2 linked regions of the Alligator mississippiensis genome follow. The protein of the gene in region 1 interacts with the protein of each later gene in a pairwise test. Links are inferred from orthologs where the notes say so. Each region holds a gene or a part of one and is shown in the gene's direction. Other genes may lie near its edges.

Evidence for each region. The genes of interacting proteins can lie anywhere in the genome.
Region 2: the proteins of SEC22A (region 1) and pulmonary surfactant-associated protein C interact in binary tests that used the Homo sapiens proteins (3 or more experiments, as listed by UniProt). The two-hybrid records come from large-scale screens. The link is inferred for Alligator mississippiensis from reciprocal best matches to the Homo sapiens genes SEC22A and SFTPC.

What each region holds. Positions count from the first base shown.
Region 1 is NC_081827.1:246,128,967-246,132,715, reverse strand, and holds the start of SEC22A (vesicle-trafficking protein SEC22a), read left to right. Parts: upstream 1-1,282; 5' UTR 1,283-1,610; coding exon 1,611-1,624; intron 1,625-2,816; coding exon 2,817-3,020; intron 3,021-3,749. UniProt on the Homo sapiens protein: May be involved in vesicle transport between the ER and the Golgi complex.
Region 2 is NC_081830.1:21,486,958-21,490,706, forward strand, and holds the start of pulmonary surfactant-associated protein C, read left to right. Parts: upstream 1-1,338; coding exon 1,339-1,380; intron 1,381-1,505; coding exon 1,506-1,652; intron 1,653-2,080; coding exon 2,081-2,221; intron 2,222-2,834; coding exon 2,835-2,945; intron 2,946-3,749. UniProt on the Homo sapiens protein: Pulmonary surfactant associated proteins promote alveolar stability by lowering the surface tension at the air-liquid interface in the peripheral air spaces.

The sequences.
Region 1 (3,749 bases):
TGGTAGAAATCTGGTTTGACTGAATGAACAATAAAATTAGAATGGCACTGGGACAACTCCTGGGAAATAATCTGTAGTGATAGGGAACCTTTGTAGTTAACACGATGGATTCCCCAGTATAAAGGTTGAGTCGAGTATATAAGAAGGGACTGAAATATCACTACAGCAGGGGTGGGAACCTGTTCAGCTGTAGGCTGGAATAATCCACCCTAAGTCGGAGGGGACGGGTGCTAGGAATCCGTCTGTACCTGTAGCTTATCTCTGCATTGGCATCAGGAGAGGGCCTACAGCTGAAGTCCCATGTCCACGGGCTCTGTGGCCCCTAGGTTGCCAGTCCCTGAACTAAAGAAATACAATATCAAATTCCTTCCTTCTCTTCCAACACTAAAAATAGAAACAGATGTTCACTGTGGACACTATACCTGTCTTTGTGCTTATGAAGTGAATCACTTAGGATGAGTCTCGTTTAATAAAATTAACTTTGTACATAATCTTTTTTTTGTTGTTCAGTTTTGAGAACGTATGAGCAGGTGAGGGTCATTTTCAGAGTTGCTTTCGAATTAGAAATGCTCCATAAAGGTTGTAAAGAACTTCTAAAATCTTGGCCCAAAGGGTGTTAACTAGGGCAGGGTTGTCCAACTGCCGTGTGACCCTTGGGCTGTCCCCAGCCACTGCTCTTCCCATCACTCTGGCTGCAATAGCAGTTGAAGTCTCCAGGTTCCCCATCCCTCCTTCAGCTTCTGGCACTTCAGGGGATGGGATGACGTGCAGCATGAGGAGCTAAGGGTGAGTCTGGGGCTGTGCCTTGGGGTGTGGGGGCATTGTACCAGTGCACGTGACCATTGCAGCAGGAGGGGGGGGATCACAAGGTGTAATAGGAAGTGTAGGTCCCCAGGACACATGGCCCCTGGGTGCTTAGAAGTTGGACAGCTCTGACCTAGAGCCAGGACACGTACATTTGGAGCCATTTCAAAAGGGGAAACTGTTGCTACCCTCTTGAAACGGCTCCAAATGTACAAGTGGCCATTTCCTTATGTGCTGCTGTTATTTTACACTATGAATATGTATTTCAGATGTATTGAGAAATCGGTTTTCTTTTTCTGTCTTTGACCTGCTTAGGTTACATCAGCACAGTCTGGCAGAGGTAGACATTTCTTTGTTCTTGACGTTTTATCTGGTAATATGTATAGTATGTGTGGTGGGCAGTTTATATTGTGGTGTTTGGAATTACAGGAGGAAGGAAGCATGCTGCTTTTTCATTTATATTAAATTCTAGTAATTTTACCTCCTTTTCACAGAAGTTTCTACCTTGTTTCTAAGCAAACAAGTAGTTTTGCTTTTAGAGTACTACATGCTACTTGTCTTGCTACATTTTTAACAGCTTGAAGATTTAAAAAATATATCTTGTCATTTTTTATAAAGATTGCATGGGAGTGTGTTTTAAAATGTCTGCTGTGAATTTTCTCCTTTGGTGTCATGAATATTTTAATAAGCTTTTGTTTTATACATGCAGGCCAAGCACACTACAGCATATATAATTGCTAGAGAAAGTTGAGAGCAGTATTATATAGTTTGAAAAAGAATAATTTTTGAACAACAGAAGTCTCTCTATGCCTGAAGATGGGTACGTGTGCCTGGAAGCTTGCAAAGAACCTTGTTCCAACTACTCAGTTGGTCTAATAAAAGATACCACATCTCTCCAAAGAACCTTGCCCGCCTAATTTTTGTTCAGGCTTATTTTATTCATTGCTATCCTCATCTCTGAGATTAGATTTAGTATCTTTTTTTGTCCTTTATAACAGCTCATGTATGGTTTTCTTGTGTTTTTACAAACAGTTTATTGTAAACAACTCGGCAATTGTGTAAGCTAGATTAATATTGCTACTCATCTCACAGATACCAAAACCTAAGGCCCAGGTAGAGAGGAAAGGTCCTGTGTTTAAGATACTAACTACAACTTGAGACCCTGGGTTGTATTCTTGGCTGTGCACCAGTTTTCTATTTGATCTTCATTAGGTTAAGTGGCTCTCCATTTAGCAGAGGCTTTTTAGCCTTTGCCTGGCTTTAAAAATCTGTATTGAATTCAGTGGAACTCTGCATATGTTTAAAGTTAGGCACATATTGACATTTAACCTAGGCAGGGCCCAGATTTCAGGGCACATGTACGCTGCCTGCATGCCCAGCTGGGGAATGCCATGGTGAGGTTTACTGAGCCTCCTCTGGACCTACTGCCATTCAAAACGGAGGTAAGGCGGCTGCCCACCAGCAAGTCCTGAGAGGCAGCGTAACCATCCTCTCTGAAAAGTGGATAATAAAACTTCTTTTTGCTGCTGCCTCTGTTCATAGTGTAAGTTCTTCAGGGCAAGGACTTCTTGATTAGTGAGGCTGTATTATGTCCTTGCGTGGTTATGTCTAAAACCTTGATTTCACTTGGTACCTCTAAGTGCTACAGTAATACAAAACGATAAATAAAAGAATGGTCTGCAATTGCATTTGGAGCTTCTGCAAGCTGTTAAGATCGAAATAATATTATTAAGATAAGTCAGAAGTCTGATTGTGCATCCTGTGTGTGTCTTTGGAAATGGTTGGGCCTATGCAGTAGGATGTTTTATGTGAATTAGTGTTCAAGCTTCAGTCCTGTGCTGACTTGCCCAGTGCTGTGTGGTAAGGTTGAGCCAGATTTACAGCAGCCTGAAGCCACAGTTACTGCTTCTAATCATAGACTGATGTTTAATCTGGCTGCAGATCCTTTTTGGAAAAAATTGCTTTTATTTTAACCAGTGTGTTTATAAGTTTGAGTGTGTTTTTGTTCTTAGGTTTCTATTAAATCAGCTGGCGATGTCTATGATCTTATCTGCCTCCGTGGTCCGTGTGAGGGATGGACTCCCACTCTCTGCCTCTACAGATTGTGAACAGAGTGCAGGTGTGCAGGAATGTAGGAAATATTTTAAAGCGCTCTCAAGGAAACTTGCTCAGCTTCCCGACAGATGTACGCTGAAAACGGGGCAGTATAACATAAAGTAAGGTTCTTCTCTCATTATCCTTGCAATGCTTCCTAGTGGTATCTGCTGTAGCAAGTTAAGAATTACAGTATAGAGGTGATTAATCAATTTAAGAATACTGTCTTATCTCACATACACCCTGCTTCTCCAAAATAAGGCGCATACCTTGTTTTTTAAAGGCAGAACATACAAAAAGGATTTTTCCATACTCATGGCTAATTCTATGACATTAAGTAAGTTCTCTTGGGATTGTAGCATCCAGGAAATGTGGCACCAGGAAGTTTTTGGTGCCAGCTGCCTTACCCAGACTCTCTTCTGGGATGCCAGGCTTTCTAGTTGCTATGTTTCCAGCAGGACTTGCTCAGTGTCACACAAGGTTAGACTCCAGACCCTTGCAAGGGCAGTAGCAAGACTGTTAGTTCTTTACAGTAAGTAGTTCTTTATATAAGTTCCTGAAAATAAAGTGTTGTTTCCACATTACAAGCCCCCATCAAGATACTGCCACCAGCTCAGTTGCTGCTTCAGGCACCGGGTTCTGTGTTTTCTGTGTTCAGCCAGTGGCTGTGGCTCTGGGAGAGTTAACAAGGACTCTGCCATCTTGGCAGCTGCATGGCATGCTCCAGGCTTGCTGCTTTTCCAGTGAAGGAAGTATCTTCCCTGCTTAAAATACACACCCCAATGTGCAGATGGGTGGACGGGCATGAGCGCAGCAATAGCTGAATGGGAGTGCAGGGCCAGTGCTGGTGC
Region 2 (3,749 bases), on another chromosome or scaffold:
CTATCTGACCTGTCCCTGGGGAGCCATACTGGAGCTGCTCCTGGCTAATTTATGAGTCAAAAACTGGGTCTCAGCTGCCGTCCCAGGCACCGCTCTCTCCCAGCCAACAATGAGTGATGGCTCTATAGAGGGCATTCTTACCCGCTGCAGCTGGGCAGTGAGGCTGAGATGCTGGCAGCAAATAAACAAGAACCACAGGGCTTAACAAAGGCAGAGCAAGGGGGGAGTAGCCGCATACCAGCCTGGGGGGTCTTCCCTTAGATCCCGGGTGGAGAGGGGAGATGGGTAGAGGGAGCTGCCAGCTAGAATCCCCCTCAGGGCTTCACTGAAACAGTGAAGTCCAGTTGATCCAGGCAGTTTCATTTGTTTGGCATGGGGCTCTGCTCTATCCAGATTTCTCCAGGGTGGGCACTTTGCAAGGAAGCAGGAAGACTGGGCACAGAACATCCTGTACTGAGCAAGGAGAATACCCCAGGCCACTGAAGGGGCTGGCACGCACCCAGAGTCTGCAAAGCCATCACAAAGACTGAAAAGTGCTGCCTGGGTTCGAACACCTAGCCTCTGCTCCGTGCACACTCTGGACCTGCAGGATGAGCAGCTTACAGGTTGCAGACGGCGTGCCACGACCACAGTCCCTCTTTGTTCCTTCCCAAGGTTCACAGGCAGCTGCAGGTGGGGTCGGAGGCAATGCAGGCAGGTGAAGGTCTGAGCAGCCTCGAGCTGGGCTACAGGTTGGCTGGCACCTAGCAGTGAGGTCAGACGTCACTTCGGGACAGCTGGCACATTGGGAAGTGCCCAGACCAGGCCAGTCAGCAAGCAGTGGGAACCTGAGCTTGGATCTGCACAGCCTGGAAGGCCCTTAATTTTCAGCTTTTCCTTTGAATAGCTGAAGCACCTGCAGGTGCCCGAGCTGTCTGGGAGACCTGGGGTGCCGAGCCAGGCCATACTGACAGGCTGGAATACTCCAACCCCAAGGGCAGCACCAGGCTCTCAGAGTGGGTTTGCTTTGGCCCTCATATTCCTTGCAAGTACATCTTCTGGGGCAACAAAGAGCATGGAGCCAATCGTAACGTGTACAAGTGCCCCCAGGGCCAAGAGCCCTCAGAGACTCTCAGCCAACAGGTTCCCAGGGGCTTATCTGGGAGCCGGCTCTGAAGGGCCCCGAGCAAACATAGCCTGCAAGAACTCCTGACCTGGAGCCAGAGAACCTGGAGAGTCCCAGCGCCGCTCTCTTCTCCAGCTCCTCAGCATCCGCTATATAAGCCTCTTGCCACCCACAGGCTCTTCAGAAGCTGGCAGGACACTGGAAAAACTGAAGACTACAGGACAAGGGGAAAGATGGACATTAGCAGCAAGGAGGCTCTGGTAGAGGCGCCTCCGGTAAGGAGCATCCTCACACCCTTACCCTCGATGAATCAACCCCTGACCCAGGGCCATCTCCTGCGATCATACCCTGGTTCCTCTTATGTCTAGTGCTAACCTTCTCTCCTCTTGTGCTCCCCCAGAGGTACACAGCCTCCCCTCGGCTTCCCTGCATTCCCCACCAGGTCAAGTGTCTCCTGATTGTTGTGGTGGTGCTCGTGCTCCTGGTTGTGGTGGTCGTGGGCTTCCTCCTGCTGGGCTTGCACATCACTGAGAAGCACACAGAAACGGTAAGTGGGGCATTACCCACATGCAAAAATATATGCATCACTGTGCTAGTGCTCGGGGGTGGCCAAAGGGGCTGCTCTGCCATGTACACAGGTATACAAAGAGAGTAGGTGGAGCTGTGGGCAAGTGCAAATGGGGTTTGTGGCAGGATGTTAGAGGAATGGGGCTTGATTAGCAAGGCCAGCAAAGAAACCAAAAAACCCAGAAACATCTTAGCAACAACCGACGCTGGATGCTGTGCCAACCTAAGGGCCTGGTTTGCTAATGTCTCCGCTTGCATGAGGCTGGCAGGACTGATGGGGGGAGACACTGCGGGTGCCTCCTCAAGCAATGGAAGCAAGCGTCTGATGCACCATTGCCTGTCCTGCTTCAGACCACCTGTCTCCCAGCTCTGGTCAGACCTGACTCTGAGGATTTTCTTGGCTTCCAGGTGTTGCGAATGACCATCCAGGGCCAGGATGGGGAGGAGTCCCCACAGCAGCTCTCCATGAGCAGGAAGGAACGAGCAGGGACTTTCTATGTCAAGGAAGGCATCAACTCTTCTGCCATGGTCGTGTATGACTACAACAAAGTAAGCAGCTGGGCCTGGGTGGGAGCTGGTAGGTCAGACTGAGGTGGGTTGCAACCCAGGGGCCCATGCTATGCCCTGATCTCACAAGTCAAGGTGCTGACGCTGAATGAAGACCGAACTGAGACAGTGCTGGTGTTTCATTAACAGGCTCAGTCCACAGCCCCCAGATGTAAATATGCCCTTGCCCCTGGATCTCTGGGTTCTGTGGCTTGGGGCCAGCACTAAGCTGATGTCAAGTGCTGTCTCTCCACGGGCCTCTTGGAAGTACTGAGCAAAGGAGTCCAAGATGGATGTGGAGAAACCGCTCGTCAGGGGAAGAGAGTGCAAGATAATACTGCTCAGTGTTGTGTGATCAGCAGAGAGACAGGGAGGTGCACCTTTGGTCCAAATGAAAGGGCAAGAGTTAGGGTAAGGACAGGCCTATGGAAGGGGTAAGGGACTTGTAGGCTATGTGTGGCAGGCAGGAAACAAGGCACAGATGGGCAATGTGCATGCCAAAAGGTGGAAGGGGCTGCACCACTGGAAGCAGCCATGCAGCTCTGGTAAGCACAAATGAGGTGCTGCCATGAAGGAAACCAGGGCTGAAGCCAACATGTGCTCTGTCTGCAAACAGCTGATCATCAGCTACAGATCCTGGCTGGCCCAAGCCTGCTACATTACCAGGATTGACAAGGACAACATCCAGGGCCTGGACGCCATCACCAAGGCATTCCAGTATCACCAGGTGAGCACCCAGGTGGGCCTTCTGGGTATGGAGGGGAGCACAGGGCAGATGGCTCTTGAGGGTAGGACACCAGGAAAGACCAACACATTGCAGAGGATGCAGGATGTTCTTTGGTTACTTGGGAGATGGCAAGCTGCACAGTCCTGGTTCACTTGCCTTGGGAGGAACAGGGTCCTGGATACAGGACCCAGCTTTGCAGGCAACAGGCTATGTGGGGGGCCCACAACTCCACTGCTGCATGGCTATTCAGAGGATTCCTGCTGCCCCTGCCCAGGCAGCCCAGGCCCCGAGCAGCTTGCGGGGCAGCCCAAGAGCCCTCTGCCCACCCCCACAGACAGGGCTTGAATGCAGCCATATGGGGCTGCACGCATGGCATAAACTGCTTTTGTGCAGTGGCACCTGTCCAGGGCTTTCGGAGGGCTGTGCCAAGGTAATCGATCCAGCCCCGCACTCATGCAGAGCAGAGGGAAGCTATTCATTTTCCTAATAGGCAAACTGGAAGCCGAGGTGGAAAATTACTTCACCAAGGTCACCTGTCAAAAAAATGGCTAGCGGGGAAACGACCCAGAAGCCTTCACCCTGGCCCCACTACTGGACAATGCTGCCCCTCCAACATGCGTGCAAGCTCAATATTATGGCAAAGCAGTGTTTGCACTGGGGGAGCATTGCTAATGCAGTGCAGTGGTCGTGGAGGACACCTTGGAGCATCATGGGCATTGCATTCCCCAGAGGAAAAGCTGACCTGAGCACACAGTTTGGACCTGGCTACATCCAGGAGTTGTAGCCCCCAGGCCTGGCTCTAAC